Lonchura striata: one gene and its partners. The protein of the gene in region 2 binds, or shares a complex with, the protein of the main gene of each other region. Links are inferred from orthologs where the notes say so. Each region holds a gene or a part of one and is shown on either strand. Other genes may lie near its edges.

Region 1 (7,710 bases), on a different chromosome or scaffold from region 2:
GTCGTGTTTCTCCTTGACCCAGCAGACCCTGAGCACATTTGGCAAGGATGTGCACTCACAGGATCACTTTATTTTTCCATCCTTGTGCTGGCAATTCTGCCACTGCTGCGCTGCCCTGATGGCAGCACAGATAGGAAGAGACCATAGATTTAACAGAAAGTTTTCTCTTACTTTGCCTAAAACTGTCTGGCTCTTGCATCACCAGCTGGGGTAAAGGCTTTAGTGAAAAGGAGAGGAGAAACTGAGATATGACAGGAGATTAGCATATTTGAGATCAACAGGCCACAAAGCCATTTTAACCTGTCATGCAACTCATTGTTACATTGAGGTTTTTAGTATTTCTGCACAGGGTGCATTATTTGCCATTTTACTTCATTACAATTTGCATCAGGCTAGGACTGACATCCTTACACATTCTGTATAAGCTGGGAGACCACTTCTGCTAATCATCAGCAGATTGAGAACTTTTGCTTATATTCACATAAATAACCCCAACACTCCGCTACTGTAAATACCTTTAGAACAAATGAGGAAAAAATTATGATTAAAAAAAATCACAGAAGATTTAACCACTGTTCCCTTGCCATTCACCCAATGACACTGACAGGCATACTAAGTGGTATTTACACTGCTATTTTCACTGCAAAACTTCAACGGTGCCTAATCACAGGAAACACAATGCAGGTAGTAAATCATAACAAACGAGGTCCTCTGTCTTGATTTAAATGTGCTCAAATCTCCCAAGAGCCGAGGAGATGAGAAAACAACAGCCAGGCTGGCTGCAGCTATTTGAGACAGGTAAGTCAGCACCCCAGTCCCAGCCAAGAACTCAGCATTGCCCAACGATTCCAGAACTAAACTTCTCCCAGAGCAATTTATTTGTTGATTAAATACAGCAGTTTTTGTCACATCACCCAGGTTTCCTGCTTGTAAAAATAGAAGATGTGTTTGAGTAAGGAGGAGATTTCTTCGATGCAGTTAAAAATGGGGAGTAATAAAAAATAAATCTACCAAGTTGCTCAATGAACTGAAACTTCAGTCTGTTCCAGGAAACATTCCCAGCCCAGAGAGAAGACTAGTGTATGCTAAAAGTAAAAAAGCATTTTGCTGCAGCATTCAGCCTTTAAAATTAAACTCAACAGCTTCTCTCTGTTATTTAAATTATCTCCTCCAGCTCAGAAGGGCTATGACCATGGCCTAAGTTACTTAACTCACATTTTTATTGACTGACTTGCATAAAAATAAGCCACATTAAGGACTGAGCTGACATTTGGTATACATCACCACAAAACTCATTTCAGATCAAACATCATTCATACAACCTAAAAATATTTCCAGCCTTCTCCCATCCAAGAAAGGGATTTTCAGATTTACATTATCCTCACAAACTTTGGTCTTCTGAAGCACAAGCGGTGCAGAATCAAAGGATTAAAAGAACACCAGGATTTTTATTTTTTGATGATCTGCCTCTGAGTGTGTTGTGTGCCAGGAGCAAGTTAACCTGTAAGTGCAGTTTCACCAGCACCGTTTTCTCATTATTTGACAATGTTTTATGCACCCACACACAGAAGATCCCTCTCCAGAGACCAATTCTGGTCACCCAGTGCTGCACTGTGGCTTCTCCAGCCCAACTGACCTCCAAACATCCACTTGTTGCCTTTGAAAGAATGGATTAGACCTTATTTTTTAATAATTCACACAGCAGTCTCAACTTCCCAACAGCTTCTCATTAAAGAAGCAGGCTCGGCTTCGACCAGAGCAGCTTCCAAAAGACTTAATCCAGATCTTTCAGGGTCCAACATAAATTGGTTTATCCATCCATGAACCCTCCAGAGGCCTCACACAGAGGCAGGACAGACACAGTTCTGGGTGTCACCTCCTGCACAGGGAAGGAACTTCCAAAGGTGAATGCCACAATGTGCCAGGTAAAAACAAGCTGAGAGGAAGGAAGCAAAATTAAAGAAACACACTAAAAAAAAACAAAACAAAACAAAACAAAAAAAAACAAAACAAAACAAAAAAAAAACTACACAAAACCATCCAGCTAAAAGCAACTAAAAGGGTATTTTCTCATTAGCAACTGAGTTATCCTCTTTGGCACACAGGAGGTTGGGGGGGTTGTTAATTAAAGTGAAGTAAGGCAAATTATGACAGGCTGTGCTGAAAACCAGTGAGTGGGAGAGGTGGCCCTGGGAATCCTGCTGGGAATGGTGAAGAGGAGACCCCAGGGAAGAGCAGCACAGGGATACCCCATGGGAGAGGGAACAGGGAAAATCCTGGGAAAGAGCTGGGAAGGGGGAAAGGTGTCACAAGGATGCCCAGGGCCAGGGAAGGTGCAGAAGAGATCCCAAAATTGGGCAGAATGCAGGGGAGCGTTATCAACAGGGATGTTCCATCGGGAGTGCAGGAGGGACCCATCTAGGGTCAGGGTGCTGGAGGGGTGGTGAGTGCCACATCCATGGGGGAGGGTGCAGGAAAGCCCCCAGGAAGGAGAAGCGTGCCCTGAGCTGCTGGAGAACGAGGGGGACACAGTGACAAACCCCCGCCCTCCTCACATTTATGTCACCCCAAGGGGGCTCAGCCACCTCACGCCGGAGGGGCGGGAAAAAATAGAAATACACAAAAGCGCAGAGAGGCTCTGTCGGGCCACAGAGGGAGAAGCGGAACAGAAAAACGGTGGATAAAAGTTAAGCGAGGCTGGGAGCTCGGGCCCGGCCGGTCCTCCCCTCACAGCCAGGGGAGGGGATGGAGGGGATGGAGGGGAGGGGACCCCGGGCCCAGCCCGGGGTGTGCGGCCACACACACCACACACACACACGCCGCTGCTGCCGCCCCGTTACCTGTGAGGCGGATCTTGATGCTGGATCCGTTCCGGCGGGTACCGGGATTCGACATCGCGCCTGGAGCAGGAGGAGGAGGAGGAGAAGGAGGACGCGGCGGCGGCGCCGAGCTCAACCGGCGGCCCCGCGCAGCCCCGCCATGCGAGCCCGCCCGCTTCTCACGATGCCGGGAATGCCCGGATCCGTGTTCCGGTGGCCGCCGCAGGCTCGGCGCCCTCAGCCGCCGCCTCAGCCCCAGCCGCCGCCGCGCCCGCCCGGCCCGGCCGCGGAGCGCCGTGGCCACGCCCCCGCCACGCCCCCGCGCACGGCGGAGGGCGGTGACGTCAGCGCGCACAGCGGCGCGGCCGCGGCCGGACGCCATGAGGGGAAGGTCGGGCGGGGAAGGTCGGGGTGTGGCGCATGCGCGGGAGGGGTCCGGGGAGCGCCCCCTGGCGAAGGGGAGAGCGCGGGGGAACGGGGAATTCGGGAATGGCGGAACGGGAATGGGGTGGGGGAATAGAGGGGGAATTGGGGAGCAGGGATGGGGTGGGGAAATAGAGGGGGAATTGGGGAGCAGGGATGGGGTGGGGGAATAGGGATGGGGGAATAGAGGGGGAATTAGGGAGTAGGGATGGGGAAATAGGGATGGGGGAATAGAGGGGGAATTGGGGAGCAGGGATGGGGCGAGGAAATAGGGATGGGGTGAGGAAATAGGGATGGGGGAATAGAGGGGGAATTGGGGAGCAGGGATGGGTTGGGATGGGGGAATGGGGAATAGAGGGGGAATTGGGGAGCAGGGATGGGGTGGGGAAATAGGGATGGGGGAATAGAGGGGGAATTAGGGAGTAGGGATGGGGTGAGGAAATAGGGATGGGGGAATAGAGGGGGAATTAGGGAGTAGGGATGGGGAATGGGGAATAGAGCAGGAATTCAGGAATGGGGATGGAGAAATGGGGGGAATAGAGGGGGAATTCGGGAATGGGGGAGTAGAAGGGGAATTGGGGAGTAGGGATGGGGAATAGAGGGGGAATTCAGGAATGGGAGTGGGGAAATGGGGGAATAGAGGGGGGACGGGAAAAGGAATGGGATGGGGAAATGGGGGAATAGGGGGGGAATGGGGGAATAGAGGGAGAACATGGGAAAAGGAATGGGATGGGGGAATAGGGGGGAATTCAGGAATAGGGATGGGGTGGGGGAATGGGGGAATAGAGGGGGAATTCAGGAATAGGGATGGGAAAACAGGGGAATAGAGGGAATGGGGGAAAAGGAATGGAATGGGGGAATAGAGGGGAAATGAGGGAAAAGGAATGGGAGAATAGAGGATAATAATGGGGGAATTGAGCAGAATAAGAGCAGGATGTGGGGGGAAAGGGTGATGGGGGATACCTGAGGAACAGCATAGGGGCAAATAGAGGTGGAATGGGAGGAATTGGGGTGCCTAGGGCTGTCCTGGGATGAAAAGGGACAAATAGGATCCCTTTAGGGATGAATAGGTGATCTCAGGGGTGGAACAGGGGCAACATGCAGGGTAGCAGGAGGGTGACAGGGTGCCTGGGGGTGAATAGGGGCTCTCACAGTGGCATGGAGGATGTATGGGGGGACACAGAGGGAGCACAGGGATGCCTGAAAGTAGCATAGGAATAAAGGAGTCTTAATTTGGGGTAAACACCACTACAGGCGGGGGCAGTGCCTGTTCCATCTCCAGAAAAGGGACAGCACCTTCTCACTGTCTACAACTCCCTGATGGGAGGGTGCCAGGTGGGGAATGGACTCTTCTCCCAAGTGCCAACACAAAGGAAAAAGCCCCAGGTTGTGACAGGGTTAGATGTTCGAAAAGATTTATTGACTGCTCAAGCAGTCCCCACTCCTGAGAATGTTCCAGGGAGCAGAGGTGGCACTAAAGGGGTAGAAGCTGATGGAAGTCAGTGGGAGATTGTGGAGGTCTTTCCCAGCCTCAATGATCCTCCACCTGCTCCTCTGGGGAAGGTTTTAATTAGAAAAACTACTTTTTTTTGTGCATGACAGGAGGGAGGTTGAGCTGCCCTGAGGAAGGACAGCATCATCATGCCCCTTTCACTGGTGTCCCATCCCATCCCCCTGGGAGGAGGGGATGCCTGCACTGCCCCCCAGCTGGAATTGCCCCAGAGCTGCTGCCTGTGCCTGGGGCTGGCAGGGGAGGGCAGCGCCCCAGGCCAGGCAAGCAGCTGCCTGCAGGTCGCTCACACACCCACACAGAGCCTTGGTGATCCCCAGGCACTGGGCCCAGTTCTTCAGCTGCCAGGGGAGACAGCAGGCACGTCCCAACACTCTTTTTAGGAGGGGCATGTTGTCCTGGCCTCTGCCTTCAGGACAATATTTTGTTAAGTTACAGACACAAGGATGGAAAGGAACAGCTCTGGGCCCCTGGCTCTGTGTAACACCACCCACCACAGATTTATGTCCAGCACATGCCAGAAAAAGAAACCAAGATATTTCCTATTTCTCTCTTAATCAGATCATCAGCAAAGAGCAGCCCTGCCTGGGCCATGGGAAAAGCCAACAGGGCTGGTCCACAGAGGACCAAAATCCAAACTCGGGGCAGGCACACAGGCCCTAGCTCTGTGTCTGAGGAAAGAGCTTCCTCACATTCCTTGTGCCCAGGGAGCTGTGGCCATTCCCAGGTGCCCCATCAGCAGTGGGAAGCCCACAGAGCCCAGGCAGCAGCAGCCCTGGCTCAGGTGCATGTTCAGGCAGTGCTGTATCATGTCTAAGTCCATAGTTCTGGATGTAAGAAGCACTTTGCATTTCATCAGATCCCAGTATTTGAATATTAAATAAATGATACTAAGCCCTGTTACCCATAAGCGGGGCTGCCCAGCTCCTCCCAGAGAACACATTTACTACCAACTCCCTTTTCCCTGGGTGGCCTGCAGGAGAAATGCATAAATCCTCTGATGAACAGATCCAGGGAAGAGGAAGAGCCTCTGTTTCCTGAAGAGGAGATTTCCCCTCCAGATTAAGCTGTCACATCACCTCCCACTGCCCCTGAGGCAGCAGAGCCCTGAGCCCACCCAGGGACACTTTGAAGAGCCAAACCCCCAAAGCAGGGAGGGAAAGCTGCTCCCTCACCTTGCCTTCAGCAAAGCCTTTGAGCTGCTTCAAGCTCTGGGTAGCAAAGGATTGGGGAAGGGTCTGCTGGGAACCACCAACACTGCAAGGATGGAGCAGTGGCCAGCAGCTCATTGAGAACCCACAGCACAAAACCTTTGTGCCATGGGCTCAACTCCATCCTCACCTTCTGCTGGAGACCACACTTGGAGGGCTTAGAGAGAAGGAGAACAAGAGCCAGGGACACACCACGGAAACCTGAAATACAGGTCCTTGGAATTAAAGAGCAGAGCCAGATCGATGGGCTGCAGGCTGATGGATGGCAACAGGGAAGCTGCAGCAGAGGTGAATCATTGCCCCTGCACTGCCTCCAACAACCTCCCTTCCAAAGGAGCAGCATCTACTCAGCAGCTCCCACATCCACATCTTCCAGGTGAAGTAACACAGCAAGGCCACTGATCCACCTGGGCCTGGCTCAGCTCCTTTCCCACAGCAATGATGGTGCCTGCAGAAAGGTGAAACATCTCTCAAACAGTTTTTTAGAGCTACTTCAGCCACTCCAAGTCAAGTCTAGAAGTTTCAGAACAAAGATCAGATGGCAGCATGCTGCTCTCCTACAGCTCAGAAGAAAGATCCCACCCAGAAAACTTGATCAGGGGCTCCAAAACACTCCTGCAAGACCTTAAGATGCTACTGGAAAAAAAAAAAACAAAACAAGCCATGTCATTTGCAACAGCAGCTTAAAGAAGGGGGGAAATAATTAAAGGCAAAAGGAACAAAGCCAAAAAGTGCAATTTATTGACAAGTTTCAGAAGTAAAAAGGCTCAACATCTCTACTCCTGACAATTTGGATGTCTGAGCTCTTCCAAAGTACCTCCACCCACCAGTTTAGAGCTGTGTCATGCTTCATCTTCAGAAGTTGAAGTCTTGTTTCTCCACTGAGAAATCATACAGCCCATCTTGGCCAGTCTGGGGCTCCAGGTTTATGCTCTCCTAGGAGGAAAATGACAGAAATTACTTATAGTGTCTGCATTTGAATAAACCTAAGCTTTTTACAGCAACTCTGTTTTATTCTTGCTTTAAAAATCCTGTTAATCTCAGTTTGACTGTAACAGAACTCCTGCTCCTTGCAGCACCCTAAAGCTGCAGTGTCCCTGCAGCCCACACAAAAGCAGCCAAGCCTTTGGGCTCAGACACCAGAAGCAAAAGGAAATAAAAGTGGCTGCAGTGGTAGAGCTCACTGAAATTAAATGGCCTGCTTGGAACAGCAACAAGCCAGGACTGCTCAGGGGGATGTTCCCCTGGAATCCAGCCCCTCCAGCAGGAGCTGGTGTGGAGAATTTCCTCCACAGCCTCTCACAGGGACACCCCACAGACCCTGCTCTGGCAAAGGACTAAACCAGACCTTTGCCCCCTGCTGCAGCTCACACCCAAAGTGAGTTCCAAGGTCTGCCAGGCCTCTGAGCCTCTTCCCTGATGATTTCCCATCTGCAAGTCTAAGGCTGGGACCAAACATGGCTCCTGTGACAGTCACTGGACCCTTGCAGCTCCTAGCTGGTGTCCTATCTTCTTTTTCCATAGATTCTTTACCATGAGAAGGGTCAAGTAATCCAAATGCAACCTGAGCACTGTTATCAGCTGAGTAGGAGGCTGCCATTCATAGTGACAAGCCAGCTCAGCTCTGAAGGAGGAAACCTCTCCACATTTGGTATTCATATCAGTAACTGCAGTAACTCCAGCTGATGCCAGTTTAAATTCCAGCAGCAAGATGCTATCAAGGCATCCATGTCTGCTGCCCAACTCA
Region 2 (7,985 bases):
GTGAATTCCCCCTTGTACCCACATTTTTTTGCATCCTTTTCCAACAGACCAGCCTTGGAATGGCTGCCAGCAGCCAGAAGCACCTGCACTGAAATGGTGATTTTAGCTTGCAGGGCTGTGTGACAGCAGTGAGCACGGGATCCTTGTCTCCCTGTGCCACTCACCACACAGGGAGGTTGCTTGAAGAATGTTTTTCTTTGCAGACCTTGGGTTTCAGCTTTAATCTGCTCTCCTGAAATGAGCTGCTGGAGTGGAAGGAGACTGGCTACAGCCAAAACGGCTTCACAACCCAGACTTTGAGCATTGCTTGAGAGCTCTGCTCTCAAAATAATGCATAAAAATAGAAGCAGGGCCACAAGCTTAGCTATTCCTAATGTGCACAAAAGGATGGGAGAGTGCCAGGAGCCAGCCTGCGCTGCCTCTGCCCCTGCCTTCAGCCTGGCTTGTTCTCTCCTACCTCCCCTGACTGGCTTTTCACTGCTGTGAAAAGGAGAGACATACCCCCAAAAGAGCAAAGTGTGTTTGTTATTGACCCTCGCCTGGAAAGTGTATGAAGAGGGATCAGCTCTGTTTGTTTGTACCCGGTAATGATGTCAGGAAAAGGGCTTTTTTTTTTTTTTTTTTTTTTTTCCCAAGTCTGGTTTTATCCCCTTTGTTGGAAGTGCCTTTGGTGAGTCTCACACCCTGGTGCTGTTAGCAAAACAATTAGGTTAACAGTGCCTTGGCTCCAACTGTCTGTCAAAGGTTGAATTGCAATGCAAATCAACCCGGCTTTAGCTCTTCAAAGCCAGCTGGGTTCAGCAGAGGTCCCCAGAAACCCCCGTGAGAACGGAGGGCTGGGGCTGGGGAGGGTGGGCTCGCCGGGATTTTACATCCAGGACCTAATGTGTTTGGCAGGAGGGATGCAAAACGTTGTGCAAACACATTATACAAATGTAACACATTGTATAAATCCTTTCAACACTCAAAAGGGGCTTAAACCGGGAGAGACTTTTTTAGTAGGGCCTGAAGTGTCAGGACAAGGGTTGATGGTTTTAAACTAAATTAGGGGAGATTCAGACTATGTAGGAAGAAAAAAATCCTTGGCTGTGAGGGTGGGCAGGCCCTGGCACAGGGTGCCCAGAGAAGCTGTGGCTGCCCCTGGATCCCTGGAAGTGTCCCAGGCTGGGTTGGACAGGGCTGGAGCAACCCGGTCTGGTGGAAGGTGTCCCAGCCCTGACAGACGAGGTGGAACAAAATGAGCTTTAAGGTCCCTTCCAGTCTAAACAATTCTTGAATTCTATGACTCAAACATATTTTATTTCTCCTCGGGGATTAACAGTGCCCTTCATGCATTTCAGGACAGGTTTCTGGCCCAGGGTGACATTTGAGCAATGCATCCAGAGCAGGGCAGGCTGTGGGTATCACCCTGCTTTCCAAGCGTCCCCTCGGCCCAGGTCCCCTTCCCAGATTTATCGGCTTCATTATGCTTGTTTCTGTATTTTCCATATGGGCACATACATATGGTCTGTTTAAACAAGTTTTCAGGGTTAATTGGAAAGCAGTTCTTTATCAGTTATTTAATATTTAGCAATTCTGGGGCAATTTCCACTGCAGAGATCACAAAACCAGGCAAGCGCTGATGGCCCAGCTGTACCTGTGGGAAATCAGAGGTGCCAAAGCCCGGGTCCCTACTCACAGGGAAAGGCAGGTGTCCCAGGTCACCTGGAGAACCTACGGCAGGGACAAAAAATTATATTAACTCCTGGACCCCATTCCTGTCCTCCACCTCCTCACATCACACAGCATACTGTACTTTTTGTTGCTTCCTTCATGACAAAAGTAATTGTAGCTGTCAGTGATGAGGCAAGTGGAGCTGCAATGGAGAAAATTTAAAAAAGGAGATTTTAATCTCATTTATAATAGCCTGGCAAGTTTTGAAAAATTAAAAAGTATAACGTATGGATTAATGAATGTGTCCAACATGTCTTTCACCAGCAAATATTGGAATGAGAAGGAACTCTTTTTTCCCCCCTCCTGATTTTCTATATTCATCACAGGGAAAAGAAATTGAGGTTCTCTGAGGAAGTGAGGAAATCAGTTTCAGTGTATGTGAGGTCACTCCAGAGGCTGTAGGACAAAGTGTTGAACTAAAAATATTACCCAATTTCCATTTTTCAGGGTGCAGAAGGCATAATTTTAAAAGCAATGGGACTTTTTTTGCAGGTACAGACCCAAATGCTGGTGCTATTATGATTTACCCCAAGTTATCACCTAAAGACTGTAGAGCTGCGCCCTGGACTCCGCTCCCACCTTTAATTACTTGGAGGTGAAGGAAGGAGCCAAATTGCCTTCCTCAAACTCCAGCTTTGTAACAAAGCTTCCTAAATTATTCTTTCTGATGCCAGCAAATAACATTCTTTCCTCCCCAGTGTTTTTTCAACTATTTATCTGCATTTTGAGCAGATTTTGTACCTGGCTAGGTGTAGTGTTGTTAACATTTAACAAGGCTACGCCCAAATCTAGCCACTTTGTGACTAATTTAGGTGCAGATTCCTCAAATGCCAGGCCCGTTTGTGGCATCCCCGACCTGCTCATGTGAATATATGCGCAACTGGGTGCTTAAATTATCCCTGCCCTCCTGCCCACCCCAAATTTAGGGATCCAGAAGATACACCCCAGGGATGCCCTGCCTGCACGGGACGTTGGTTTTATATGTGCTCTACCCAGCGTCACATTTAGTTGGGTGCAACATTTGTTTTGGATGTCTTTGCCTTTGGATTTGAGCTCGACTTGGTTACAGCAGCCATGATTTAGGAGTCCCAGCTCCTACTTCCGACACGATAACTGCCTCGGAGAGTGACCTTAAAGCAACCCATCCGCCCGCAGTTATTCTGTGAAAAAGGAGCTGCTCCTCCGTGGGAGTGCGTGCAGGACGGGGACCCCTGGGGACTTCTGCTGCCCTGCCAAGCCTGGCGCTAGGAAGTCTGGCCGGACTTCCCAGCCCGGCCGCAGGGCGCAGCAAGGCTGGACGAGAGCGCAGCCTCTTGGTGGCTCAGCTTTCCTCACCCTCTGCCGGTCCAGAATTGGAATGGGGGAAATCTGTGGAGCGCCCAGGGTGCCAGGGGTTGTTACCGCTTAGTAGCACCCGTAACGCGAATACCGGAGTGCTACTCGCCCGTCATTGCTGCTTCGTGTTTGGAATCGGAGCGTACCGAGCCTCCATGGTGTATTTTCCTGTCCTCCTGGTGACAGGTGCTGTAGCAGCACAAATTATTATTATTATTACTATCATCATCATCATCATTATTATGACTGCTTTTTGTGATGCGCCCTCGTTCTATACCCAGAGCCATATCGATTTTTTTTTTTAAATTTTTTACGCTGATTTGGTTTAATATTCCAATGTTTACAGCGAGCACCGGCACACCCCAGTCCCGGGAGCTCCCCACGCTGTGCCCCGCGGGGTGCGGGGGGGACACCCCAGTCTCCCCGCACCCCCCACCCAGGAGCAGGTACGAAGGGAAGCATCGGGAGCGGGGCGCGGCGGCGGTGGGGTGAGCCGGGGAGGGGACGCACGGACCCACAACCTCTCCGCAACCCGAGCCGCCTCTTGCGCAAGGCGGTTGGAGATAAATATAATATATAGATATATTTATTTATTTTTTTTTTTCCCCCGGAGCGACACGGTGTCTAGACGCCCACGTGACGGGGCCGGGCCGGGCCGGGCCGGGCCGCTGCGCACTGCGAAGCCGCCGCCGGTGCGGGGGGGCCGGGCGAGGGCGCAGGCACCGCGCCGGCTCCGCTCCCGCCCCGCGCCGCCGCCGCCGGGGGAAGGCGGAGGTGCGGGGAGGGCGGCTGACTGCGGAGAGCGGAGGGGCGGGAGGGGTGGGGGGGAAAGGGGGAGGAAAAAAAAAAAAAAAACCCCACGAAAGGAGGAGGAGAAGTAGGAGGAGGAGGAGGAGGGGAAGGAAGGCAGGAAGGAGGAGTGAAGAGCAAAAAAAAGGCACCGCGGCAGAGGCGCCGGCAGCAGGGAGAGGGTCGGCGGCCGGCGGGCACCCCCGCACCCATGTAAGCTCCGCCGGGAGCGGCGGGCCCGGCTCGGCCCGGCGCGGCTGCTGGGGAAGGCAGGAAGGAAGGGACGTAGCCCCACTTTTCTCCTTTTTTATTATTTTTTTATTTTTTTATTTCCTTTCTTTCTCTTCGTAGCAGCCGGATCAAGACTCCGTGTGGATTAAACCTTTGGAAAGAAGGAGGGGAAAAAAAAATAAAAGCCCACCCCGAAACCCCCACATCAGGACGACCTGGGCTTTTTAAAAGGGATACAACACTCTGGATGCGCTCGTTCGCCTCTTTTGTGACAGATGCTTAAACCGACGTCCAAACCTTAGGGTTGGTGTTTTGGGGCTCTTTTTTTTTTTTTTTTTTTAACATTTTTTTTAATAGCCTTTTTGGCTCGCTCTTTTTGTTTTTGCCTGCTGGCTCTGCCCTGCGCCGCATCCCTGCCGCCGCGCCCGCTCCCCGGCGTGGCGGGTTGATGGGCGCCGCGGCCCCGGGGCGGCCGAGGCTCCCCCGCGGCTCGGGCCGCGCTCCGCACCCGCGCACGGCGGCGCGGCGCCGGCAGCCCCCGCCCGCCTGCCCCCGCGACGAGCGCCGCGGGCTCTAGACGGGGATTTTTTTTTTTTTTTTGGTTTTTCCTTGCTTTTTTGGGCAAAGCCGGAGCAAGCGGCGACTCTCTCCCTTCCCTTCCCCCAACCTTTATTTTACCCCTCCTTTTTTTTTTTTTTTCCTTCTCAGTTTTGAATTTTTTTTTTTTTTTCTTTTCAATTCGATTTTTCTGTAAATTTTCTCGCAGCGGGCGGAGGCGCGGCCGGCGCATCCCCCCGCGGGAGGCGGCGGGACCCGCGGCCCCAGCGCGGAGACTGGCGCATGCCACAGCCCGCCTCGGCTCCGCTGCCCCCCGCCGCTGCCCCCCGCCGCCGCCGCATCCCGCCTGCCGGCCCCTTCATGCTCGGCGGACGACATGCCCGTTTTGTAGCCGGGGGCCCCTCCTCTCGTCCCGCATGTTCAGGACCAAACGCTCGGTGCTCGTCCGGCGGCTCTGGCGGAGCCGCGCGCCCGGCGGCGAGGAGGAGGAGGAGGCGGCGGCGGGCGAGCCCGGCGCGGCGGCGGCGGTGGCCGAGCCCCGGGCGCACTTGGGCGGGGGGCGCGGGTGCTGCCCGGGCAAGGCGGGCCGCGGCGGGCGGGCGGCGGCGGGCGCGGAGGCGGAACTGAAGGCGCTGACCCACGCCGTGCTGAAGCGGCTGAAGGAGCGGCAGCTGGAGGGGCTGCTGCACGCCGTGGAGTCCCGCGGCGGGGCGCGGACCCCCTGCCTGCTGCTGCCCGCCAAGGCCGACTCTCGGCTGGGACAGCACTGGTACCCGCTGCCCGTGCTGCTCTGCAAGGTGTTCCGCTGGCCCGACCTCCGCCACTGCTCCGAAGTGAAGCGGCTATGTTGCTGTGAATCCTACGGCAAGGCTCACTCCGAGCTCGTCTGCTGCAACCCGCACCACCTCAGCCGGCTCTGCGAGCTAGGTACGGCGGTGGGGATGGCGGCGGATGCGGGGGCTGAAGGGGTTAGAGGTGTGTAGGGCTTGGAGGGATGTAGGAATATAGGGGAATAGAGGTCACACGAGGTTGTAGGGGATTCAGGGGTGCAGGGGCTGGAGGGCATGCAAGAGATGGAGGAGGTGCAGCGGCGCGGGGGCTGGAGGTGTGCAAGGGATGGACGGGATACAGGGATGTGGGGAATGGAGAGGCTGGGGTGCAGGGGATGGAGAGGATGCAGGAGTGCAGGGGCTAGGGATGATCCAGGGGCTGGAGGTATGTAGGGGTTGGAGGGCATGCAGGGGATGCATGTATGGAGGGGATACAGAAATACGTGGATCCAGCCCCACTCACCTCCCGGCCCACAAAACTTTTTTTTCCCCCTTCTGGAGGGGAAAAAAACCCCAACAAACAACAAACCAAAATCAACCCACAACAAACAACAAAACCCAGAACACGCACAAAATCTTTCAGTTGCCGTGGTTTATGCATTTCATTTTGTATTTAGGGGAGGGGGCGACGCCCCCACCTCCGGGACCCCCTCCCCTCCCGGGGGCCCCGGCGCTGCCTCCCCGCCGTCCCCGCGCGGTGCCGGGGGATTAAGGGCCGGGCGGCCCCGGCGCTGCCGCGGCTCCGCCGAGCCAAGGAGGCCCCGATCAGACAGCCCGAGCGGCAGATAGCAGGGAGACTGGCGCCAGACGGCCCCTTTTGTTTATCTGACAGCTAAATATCAAGGCAATCACCGCCTCGCTGCCCTGCCTCCAACCCCCAGAGCTAAGACAAACAGTTTTGCTAAAAGAATGCCACTGTTATCATAAGTTCCTATCTTTTTTCTTTTTTTTTTTTTTTCTTTCTCATGGCTCTGCCTTTATTTTCTCTGTACTTCTCTAATTCCAGAGTCTCCCCCTCCACCCTACTCCAGATATCCAATGGATTTTCTCAAACCAACTGGTAAGTGGATTTTTTTCAATGCAAGTGTAAGAGATAAAAAATGGCAAAATAGTTCCTTTATCGGGGAAACAGCCTCCTGCCTTTGTCATGCATTTTGCTTTTGGGTTGCTTGTGTGCCGTGCCTCCTGCTACCCCTATAACAATTAGCATATAATTTGTCTAAGCCACCTTGTGCACAAAGTAGGGGTTTAAAACTATGGCAGTAAACTTCAGAAGGGATTGCAGCACAGTGCAGGCCTGTGCTGCTTGAATCAGCCAGGAAAACCATAGGCTCCAGTTGGAAATGGCAGTGCTTCTTCACCCCTGGGTGAATTTTTAGGGATTTAGGCTGGGATCCAGCACAGCATCTCCCTGATGCCTGGGAATCCCAGTGAACCTTGACAGATGGACTGGTTGGTTAAAAATCTCTCTAAGTTTTATAGAAGCCTAATACTACATCATCTTGGAAAAAAAAAAAAAAACCGGGAAAAGAGTTTGAAATGTTGTTTTTTTAACCTTTTTAAAATTTAAATTTCTTAGCACTGCTGTGCATGCCTGTCGCTTGTAATTGAATGTCAGGGTGCCAGGGGAGAAGCCCATTTGAGGCTGGCACCAGCTCTTTTGCGGTTGTCTGCATAAACTCTTGGTTGGCAGCGAGCTCGCTGGGTGTGAGATAAATGAGGCTGGGAGAAGGAGGAGAGGTGGGGAGAGTCGGAAACGTGGGGAGCTCGGGAGGAGCAGCTCCTGGCTTCCTGAGGATTAGTGGCTCTGGAGTGGGCTGGAGCACGGTGGTCTCTGCGGTCGCGTCCCGCGGTCGTGGCAGACAGGGGAGGCACGGCACTGCAGGGTGGCAAGGGTAGATACACAGATATTTCTGAAGAAAAGCATCAGAGTGTTTGGTTGGGGTTTTTTGGCCAAAAGAACAGTGCCTGTGAAATCACCTCTCTGCAGGGTCTCAGGGCTAAAAGAAACCCCAGCCTTGAGGCTGCTCTGGTGTGGTGGTGGGGTCTCATCCTGCCAACTGCTCCCCAGAGGCTGGACTGTTGTTTTCCCCCTCAGCAAACTCTTTGGGAACACTAAGGAGTCTTTTTTTGCCTTGTGAAAATAAAGAAAGCTGTTTAACAAACAATTGGGTTGCAAAGCATGAACTATCTTGACTTGTGAAAAAACCAGGAGATAAGGGCTGGTGAATGCAAGAGGGACATCGGAAGTAGGTTCAGCATCCACAGCATGTGCTGGGATGCAGAAGTGTTGTTCTGCAATAGACTCTGAGGGTCTGCTGGGTTCTTTTTGTGGGTTTTGCATAACTGTGGCTGCATCCCTGCAGTTCTCCCCCAAAAGTTCCTATTTTTTTTGCCTTTATGGCTTTTCTCTGCACTCATTGATGATCCTGGCATGGGATGCAAAGGGGGTTTGGAGCTGGAGGAGACAAGGGTTAAAGCTTGGTTTTGCTTTCCTATAAAGATGTTAGGATAAAATCTATTTGCAGG
Region 3 (8,044 bases), about 1.3 Mb from region 2:
CTTTGAGAGTTTCTGCCCTGCAGGATGCAGTGCCATGTGGGCTGGGCACCTCTGTGCCTGCCATGCTGCACAGCTGCCTCAATCCATTCAACACGGTAACTCAAACCAAGAGCACAGAGGAACAGATTTCCTCGTTCTCCTCTGGGACTACTGAAGCAAGTCTTTGGGGTGGGAATTGTTACTACAGGGGGGATGAAAACAGGGACTTTGAGAGGAGATCCTTTAGGAAAATGAGAACTGTTGCACAGACCCAGGGCACATCTCTGCAAACCTCTGCTGCCTCTGTGCTAGGTCTGACACCCCACAGCTACTTAGGGAACTGGCTGCAGTGGGTCTCCATGAACAACAGATCTTGGAATGGAGCAAGGGATAACAAAGAGGAAAGGGAAAATAAGACATACTTTTTTTCTGCTCCTTTACATGTCCTGGAACCAAACCTGTACCAGGGAGGGATTTCTTTCTATTTCACGCTTTCAAGAGCTCCAAAGAAGGTTGGAAAAACACCGAGTCCATAAGCTTTTCCATGGGAAAGCTGCAGAGTCACTCCTGGCCTTGCTGCAGGGAGCAGCTGTCCCTGTGCTGCATTTCAGAGCCTGGGAGCACAGGAGCCATGGAGCCTGAAATCTCCTCAGCAACCGTGCCACAGCTGGAGCCAGAGCTCGCAATGCTAAATAGAGCATCCCTGAGCTGGGAACTTGAGTGGGCCGTGTTGGATTGCACAGCAAAGCAATTTAAGCAAATGACTAATCTAAACCCTTCAGTTTGCTCCTACTTTAGGCTTTGGAAAAGCGGCTGAAAAACATCAGCCATCAATCCTCGCCTGCTGTAACAAAGCAAACCCAGAAGATTAATTTTGCCATCCTAACACCAAATCAAGGCAAATCCAAACAGACTGTTTACTGAGTTGTGTCAAACCACTTGCACTTGGACTTGGATCAGGACTTGCAGCATACAAAAGGCATGACATGTTTTTCACTTCCAGAAGGAAGAAAGAAAAATTACTCTAAGATTAGTATAAGAAATTACTAATAAATATTATTTTTCCCCAGACTTCTTGGTACCTTAACTAAGCCAGTACTTTGATTAAACTTACTCTAAGATTCCCACAGTCTTAGCAACTATTTCATTACAATACACATTTTAGAAGTGTGCAGAGGTCCACGTGTGTCCATTACACTTAGAAAGTGACAAAGTATTTGTTTTTAAAACCAGAGTGCACAAAGAGTTCTCTACGCAGCAAGGCCTCAGCCAACTAAACTAACAGAAACATTTAATTTGCTATTTGAATGCTCTGATTTTAAAAAATCTTTCCAGCTGACGTAACAGCTGGAATTAATGTGAATTAAGAAACACGTGACAGTAAGAGCTGAAAATATTACACTGGATGTAATCATAACGAAGAGCGAAGTTACATTAGATTAGAAATAAAGACAATTTGTGGCCTGCTCCAAAGAAACGCAGAACATTCCAGTGCTAACAATGGAAGTGCTGCAGTTGGCTCCAGTGTGGCAGCCTTTGTAAGGCAATCCGTGTTTTACCAGCACAGCACAGCACGCCCATCATACTTACTGCGGTGCCGGCTGCCGTAGGACCAGGGGTGCCACGACCCTCCTTACCAACAGCCTGACTTTGTTCTTCCGGCCCACGCGTGACAAGAATTCTGAAGTGCTGCTGCCTCATGTTTTGATCTGGTCTGATTTTAAACAAGCATCCCTGCCCTTGAGGCATCCGCTCTACTGAATCACTTCGAGGTATTCCTGCCCTGTTCCTGCTGTCTCCAGGCAGCTCCGAATTCAGCCCATCACCTGTGGGGCTAATTCCTTCTGCTGGTGGCTGGACAGGGTAGGAAGTACTCCTTTCCAGCCGTATCCGAGGGTACCTGACCAACCTGTCCCCTTTTGTTCCGGTAAAGCCAAAGTTACTGCCACCTTCTGCGCCCGTACTGCTTGTCTGTGGCTGCTGTAACTGGAGAACAAAGAACTTTTTCCCTGAATTTGCTGACAGATCTGGCACATGCTGCAAGGACCAGCGCCGGGGCTCAGAGGTGGGAGCGCTATTTGGAGCGTCAGGACCAAAGGGAAGTAGAGTAACTTGAGGAACCTCCGCACTTGAGGCGCGATGCTGAATCCTCACACCGCTTATGTTTACACCTGAAGCCGCTTCACTCGCTTCTTGTCGTTGGGCAGTCAGCAGAGCCTCCTCGCTCTGAGAATTAGTACTACAGAACATTCTACGGTTACAGCAAACAGTTCCATCTGTCTGCTGCCCCAACTCTTCCGTCAGCCCGGGTGAAGAACCTTCAGGAGTCACCTGCAGAGCGCTCGGAGAAGAGCGCTTTTCAACAGGGGATGCATACGGCTCCCTGAAGTCTGAGACTTTCCAGGGCAGCGTCTCCTCCGGAGGCTCCGGGGCCGCGCACTCGTCGGCGCAGCCGTCGGCAGCTTTGCGCTGGAGCGAGATCTGCATGGACGAGCTCCTGGTGGGGCGCGCGTCGATGCCGTTCAGCAGCTGCGGGATAAACATGGATGTGCTCCTTTTCAAGGAGCCCACTTCGTGCAAATCTCCGTCGCCGCCGTAATCCGGTCCATGCCGCGAGAACGCGTGAGGGCTGCTTCTTCTTGGCAAGGTGTGGAATGCCATGAAAAAGTCATCTTCTCTCTCCCGGGCAAGGTTCTCCGATTCGGGGGCTGTGTTGCTTCTCCCAGAGCCAAAATGAAACCGCAGCCGATGGGCCATGATTTTACAGAGAGGAGAAAAGGAGAGGGAGAACGGCAACAATTCAGGCACTGCCAGAAGTTAAAAACCAAAGACATAAACTCCAGGAAAAAGTGTCCCATCTGCCAATCGGTTAGCACTGCAGCCCTGGGAGCGACAGATAGCAGAAATAGCCCAAGTGGCAAGCAGCATTCCAGGCATGATTGGGCAGGAGCAGTCAGCGCTCCTACACACACGGTGACATAGGGTAGGATGGTGGGAGTCACGTGGCCTGGTTCCCCCTCTCCAATGTAAGTGTGTGAGGAGTTTGTTTTTTCCTTTTTTTTTTTTTTTTTTTTTTTAATGCCAGCAAGAGCCTGAAACAGCACCTTCCCAGCTGCTCCTTTTCCATCAGGGAGGAGCGGCCCCAGAGGGAGAGCTCTCGCAGCTGACTGAGGCAGCGAATACACTCGGCACTGCTATAAATCTAAACCACATCAGATTCACAGGGCACACTTGGGAGAAAGCACTTGCAGAAAACTCTAACTACAACAAAATGCTTCCATTTTGTGTTAAAAGCTTAAATCAACACCACATGCAAATGAGGAAAATTCTTTCAAGCACAACATTTTAGTGTGTTACAGCTCTGAGCTGTCATGGCAGAACAGGAATAAATACAACATGGTTACACTTAAAATTTTAACCGTGCTCATAACAAAATTAAGCAACAAACTTTTGACTTTAAAAAGCCCCAGCAGCAATATAACCTGCAGTTCCCTTTGAGCAACTACAAATTACCAACAAAGCAATCATACGTATGGCAAAGATCTCTCACACAGTAAAACCAGTAGAAATGTGCAGGACAGCAAGTCAGAAAGCTCCTTTTCCAGATCTGCCAGGCAGTACAGGTGAGGGAAAAGCAGAGCTGGGTGTTGCATGTCTGTTTGCACTGATTTGTCCCAGCCCCTGCACAGAACTGCCTGCTCCTGGCTGGCCTCCAGCGAGGGAGTCAGCAATGCCACCACGCGTGGCACTGCCAGCACAGAGTACAGTTACACTCCGAGAGCCAGAAGAGCTCAGGAGAAGGACAGGCAGACAGGATACACTAGAACGTGCACCAACCACCTTAAATCAGCTCTGCTACAACAAAGATACTCAGTGCCCTGAGGGCACTCGCACTTCTTAGCACATACCAGAAAAACTCTGGTTAACCAGAAGGCAGCTCCATCTCAGGGCCTGGACAGCTGCTCCCTGCGAGAACTAGAAAGCCTAAATCTTGTCAAAAGCTCTGAAAACCTGTATGTGGCGGGTCAGTCCTCTGCTGAGACATCTGAACTCTGCTTACAAGCAGCTTGCTTTCAAAAGCCACAAAACTACCAATCCCAAGAGCAACGGCAGCTCAAATTGATCAAACTGCCAGCAACCAGCACAATCCCACAATTTTTTATGTGGGTTATGAAACGCAACAAAAATGTGAACAGCTTCCACACAGCAATGGTCCTGGAGATTGCATCATAGAAGCACAGGTGTTGGTATTATTTTATCTTTTTTTTCAGCTAAAACATGTTACTCAATAACACGGTCTCTGCATCCAAAAGGAGGCTGCATCACATTTACTCTGTTGAGACTGGGGAAGAGAAAGGCAAAGACACCTGCTAAGACAGAGTGTGCTTTGGTAATTTGGGAACAAGAAGAAACAAAGTCCTTCCAACAAAAGCCATTTAAATATTGACAATAAGTATGTGAGAGTAAAGCCAAAAGTATCAGCTCAGCGTCTCCTCACTCTATAAACACAACCTGATAGAAACTTGCTATTCCAAACCCCCCGAAGCAGTCAGCTTGCCACAGACCTTCTGCAAGGAAAGCCATGCTTCCTAACCCCAGGTGCTGCTTTGGCCAGGAAGTTCCAAGGCCAAGGACAGACTGAGTTTGGAGGCAGAACAGAAGGAGAATACACACAAACTACTTCAACAATAAAAAGTGCTGAAACTGCCACAGTACGGCCGGTATTGCACACCCAAACTCGAAAATCCAAAGCAGTATGTCTGAAATAAGTATCCCAAACCTGTAATTTCCCAGCTGTCAATGCATAGAAGCTTTTTCTCTAACCCGACCTCCCTGTTCCTGTGGCACCTTCGCATTCCAATGGCGCATGGCAGTTTTAATAGTGCAAGTGGGCATTATAACCATTATATACAAAATAAATATGCTCCTGGTCAGCCACTGTAGAGGCACAGTGCCACCGGTTCACCAATTTACTTCCTCCTGAGAAAAGATCCAGTCATTCAGCTGCCAAGTCCTTTTTCTCCCCAGATTACAGCTTCTGTGGTTTCCTTTGCTCTTTATTTATGAGGAAGATAGAAGGAAAGAACCTATTTGTTGAAGACAGATGCTTTTACAGTCTTTTTTTATCTTCAGCAAGCAAACAAGTTTCTCCACCCCAGAAAATGTGAATTCCTGATCTCATGAACAGAGCTGGTGTTACAATGTTCAAAAGGCAAACCCCCAAGAGCCATCCACCAGTGTGCCACCGCACTGGCACGTTTAACCCCAGATGTACAGAGGGATACTGACACTTTTCCCACGGATAAAACTATTCCAGAAGCTAGCAGCAGTCAATGGTGAAAGCCTCCTCCTGAAAAGCTACTGCATCAGCCAAAGGCAGGGAAAGACGAAACCACTAACAACATGTGAGCGTTGTGAGGCAGAGATGAAACCCACCATTCTGCCATGACCTTAAACCTTCACGCATGCACTGTGCGCATAAGATGCAGCTCTGGTAACCACCTCCCCAGGCAAGATGCAGAAGCACTAAAGGACTGGAAAGGGACACTAAAATGATAAAGCAGTTCCTTTATCAGCAACTGAAAAGGTCAGGACTTTATTGGTTTGAAGTGGAGAGGCCTGAGAAGGCCAGAGTGAGGGTGAGGAGGACCATCTTGGTCCGACTCAGAAAGGCACTACTTTAGTGCCCTTTCAGTCCCAGACTCAAATGGTTTTTACACCTCTATTTGTGTTTCTTGGCACGCTCACTGAAACAACCGTCCGAAGACACCTTTGAGCTGTGTTGTATTTCTATCAGCTGGGGCACACGGAGCCTCGTGATTAGCAGAACATAACCAAGACAAGCACTCACCAGTCTGTTTTCATCAAACACCTCGAACAGCAGCCGATGGTTAGTTGGGTTTACCTGTGAGAAAATCCAAATGTCACTGCAAGTTCAGTAGCTGGACAATAACAACCTGGGTACTAGCTCAGGCAGCAATCAAGGCAAACAGGACAGGACTAACAGGTCTGATGTAAATCTTTACTTGAACTGGAGCACCAGAACCTTACTGCAACTGGGAAGAGCATGGCAGTTGACATGAAAGCTTTTACCTGCATTCCCATGGCAGAGGACCCTAGTCCCAGGCTGGACAGAATATCAAGGCTCCCTGACTGATTTATGAGGAGCAAGAATTTTGCTGCATTTCCTTCAGAATTTCACCTTCAGATATGTTTCTGACTGTCCACTGCTCATCATCTCTAGCCCATTTATTACTCACATCCTTGGAACAACCAGCAGAAATCTCCCCAACACCTGAACAGCAAATATACCTCCAGAAAATTATTTACTTAAACTGAAGCAGAAAGACTGCCAACATTTAAAAGGTCAAAATCAAACATAAAAAGAACTCTGTCAGAAAGACAAAACAGCTGCTATTAAGCAAGTTTTATAGCATTTGATCCAGTTGATATATTTTTTCAGAGAAGCTTTACAAGCTGGGTTACTACGACCAGCATATTGAATTAAGAAAATTTAGAAATAGTATACAACAATTCTGTGGGCTGGAGATGGACTTCCCAGTTTTGAGAAAATCAGAGAACTGTGACACACAAAATAGTGTCTAAATTACTTTACAGGTCCCGTTATTGCTGAGGACACTCAAGATGTTTTAACAGAGCATTTGTGAACTACACCAGAGGTTTTGCAGCAGGGTTGTGCACTCCCTTTTCCTAAGACTCTAGATCTCAGCTGCAAACCCCAGAAAAGCTGTTTGGTGCAGGTGTCCCAGTAAGCACTCCCCACGGCAGTGAGGCCTGTGCATGGAACATTCCACTGGTGGCACTGCTGTCCCAGAGCTCCCATCTGCCACACCAGCCCTCAGGCACTGCTCGAGGGTAATGTTTGAAACCCCTGCAATCCTACCTGACCCGCTTTTGTACAGCTACAGCTGCACTACAGGTCACAAGTCAACTATTCCTTGGAAGAACGTTGTATGCAACCGAGTAGCAAAGTGACTGCCCTTCACAATTATATAATTGCAGGTTGGGAAACAGTTTCTAAGGAACCTGCAAGCCAATTCCTGCTGAGCATTCCATCCCCTCAGAAACACAACAGCAAGTACATCAGGGCAAGCAGGTCTCTGGAGTAAACATACAAATAGAAAATAACATTAGCTGTACATGTTCTAATAATGACCACAAATAAAGAGAAACTTACTCTGAAGTAAAACTCTTCATTCCATTTAGGGTTCAGCGTCTGTAAAAAAGTAACTATATTTACATCTAATGTAAATGTTTTCTGGTGTGCAATTATAACAACATACATGCAAGTGACAGTTTTCTAGGGAAATAAAAGAGAAAGAAAAGCATGTAATAAAAGAAATTGAAAAATACATTGCCATCTAGAGATTCTCTATTGAGTAAACCAAATGTGAGAGGATATGTGAGTCAGATGACCCTAAAATAGACATTAAATATAAATAGAATTTGATGATTAAAAGACAAATCATTGAGAACCTATAGAAATAAAATCTGAAGAACATTTCATTCTCAAGATTCATTTAAACCCAGATGAGAAAAAAAGTATTTTTTAATCACAAAAGCAACTTTGGGGCTCCAAGAATATTCTCAGATTTATACTGTGAAATAAACAGAAAAATTAAAAAAAAAAATAAAACCAACCCAAAAAAAAACCAAAAGTAAAACCAAAAGAAAAGGTTATTCCTGGGAACAGGTAAGATACTCTTCCAATGTTCTCCCAGCCCAAGGATTTTAATTTTAACAACCTGACTAAAATGCACAGAATAAACGTCCATACATATTGCCAGCTGAAGTGAGCTCAAACATGACATAATTAATTGACACAAAAGAGATGAGAAGTACAAACAGTAATTTGGGCAATTCAAGCTTGAGTAAGTATAAAACAATTGGACAATACGCCCAATGATTTTGTGCTCATGCCAAACCATTCCCTCACGCTCTCACACAGCAGAGATCTACGGGCAGAGCTGACAGGAGAAATTGGCTTTACACCCACGACAATTCTGTTCTAGCAGAGATGGGGAATCTTGGCTGTTTATCTTAC

What was found.
Region 1: the proteins of SMAD7 (region 2) and SMURF1 are in contact, whole or in part, in an NMR structure (PDB 2LTX), measured with the Homo sapiens proteins. The link is inferred for Lonchura striata from reciprocal best matches to the Homo sapiens genes SMAD7 and SMURF1. Residues at the interface, in NP_005895.1 of Homo sapiens: Glu203, Glu205, Ser206, Pro207, Pro208, Pro209, Pro210, Tyr211, Ser212, Arg213, Tyr214, Pro215, Asp217; in NP_065162.1 of Homo sapiens: Glu313, Arg315, Ser316, Thr317, Arg321, Tyr323, Val325, Asp326, His327, Arg330, Thr331, Thr332, Phe334, Thr335.
Region 3: the proteins of SMAD7 (region 2) and NEDD4L are in contact, whole or in part, in an NMR structure (PDB 2LTY), measured with the Homo sapiens proteins. The link is inferred for Lonchura striata from reciprocal best matches to the Homo sapiens genes SMAD7 and NEDD4L. Residues at the interface, in NP_005895.1 of Homo sapiens: Glu203, Glu205, Ser206, Pro207, Pro208, Pro209, Tyr211, Ser212, Arg213, Tyr214, Pro215, Asp217; in NP_001138439.1 of Homo sapiens: Arg394, Asp396, Lys398, Arg400, Tyr402, Val404, Asn405, His406, Arg409, Thr410, Thr411, Thr412, Trp413.

Annotation. Positions count from the first base shown.
Region 1 is NC_134618.1:14,830,644-14,838,353, forward strand, and holds the start of SMURF1 (E3 ubiquitin-protein ligase SMURF1), read right to left. Parts: upstream 3,086-7,710; 5' UTR 2,896-3,085; coding exon 2,841-2,895; intron 1-2,840. Other genes in the region: KPNA7 (importin subunit alpha-8), read right to left, coding at 6,819-6,899. UniProt on the Homo sapiens protein: E3 ubiquitin-protein ligase that acts as a negative regulator of BMP signaling pathway. Mediates ubiquitination and degradation of SMAD1 and SMAD5, 2 receptor-regulated SMADs specific for the BMP pathway.
Region 2 is NC_134642.1:1,802,900-1,810,884, forward strand, and holds the start of SMAD7 (mothers against decapentaplegic homolog 7), read left to right. Parts: upstream 1-4,957; 5' UTR 4,958-5,042; coding exon 5,043-5,553; intron 5,554-6,462; coding exon 6,463-6,516; intron 6,517-7,985. UniProt on the Homo sapiens protein: Antagonist of signaling by TGF-beta (transforming growth factor) type 1 receptor superfamily members; has been shown to inhibit TGF-beta (Transforming growth factor) and activin signaling by associating with their receptors thus preventing SMAD2 access.
Region 3 is NC_134642.1:459,397-467,440, forward strand, and holds the start of NEDD4L (E3 ubiquitin-protein ligase NEDD4-like), read right to left. Parts: upstream 3,036-8,044; 5' UTR 2,737-3,035; coding exon 1,570-2,736; intron 1-1,569. UniProt on the Homo sapiens protein: E3 ubiquitin-protein ligase that mediates the polyubiquitination of lysine and cysteine residues on target proteins and is thereby implicated in the regulation of various signaling pathways including autophagy, innate immunity or DNA repair.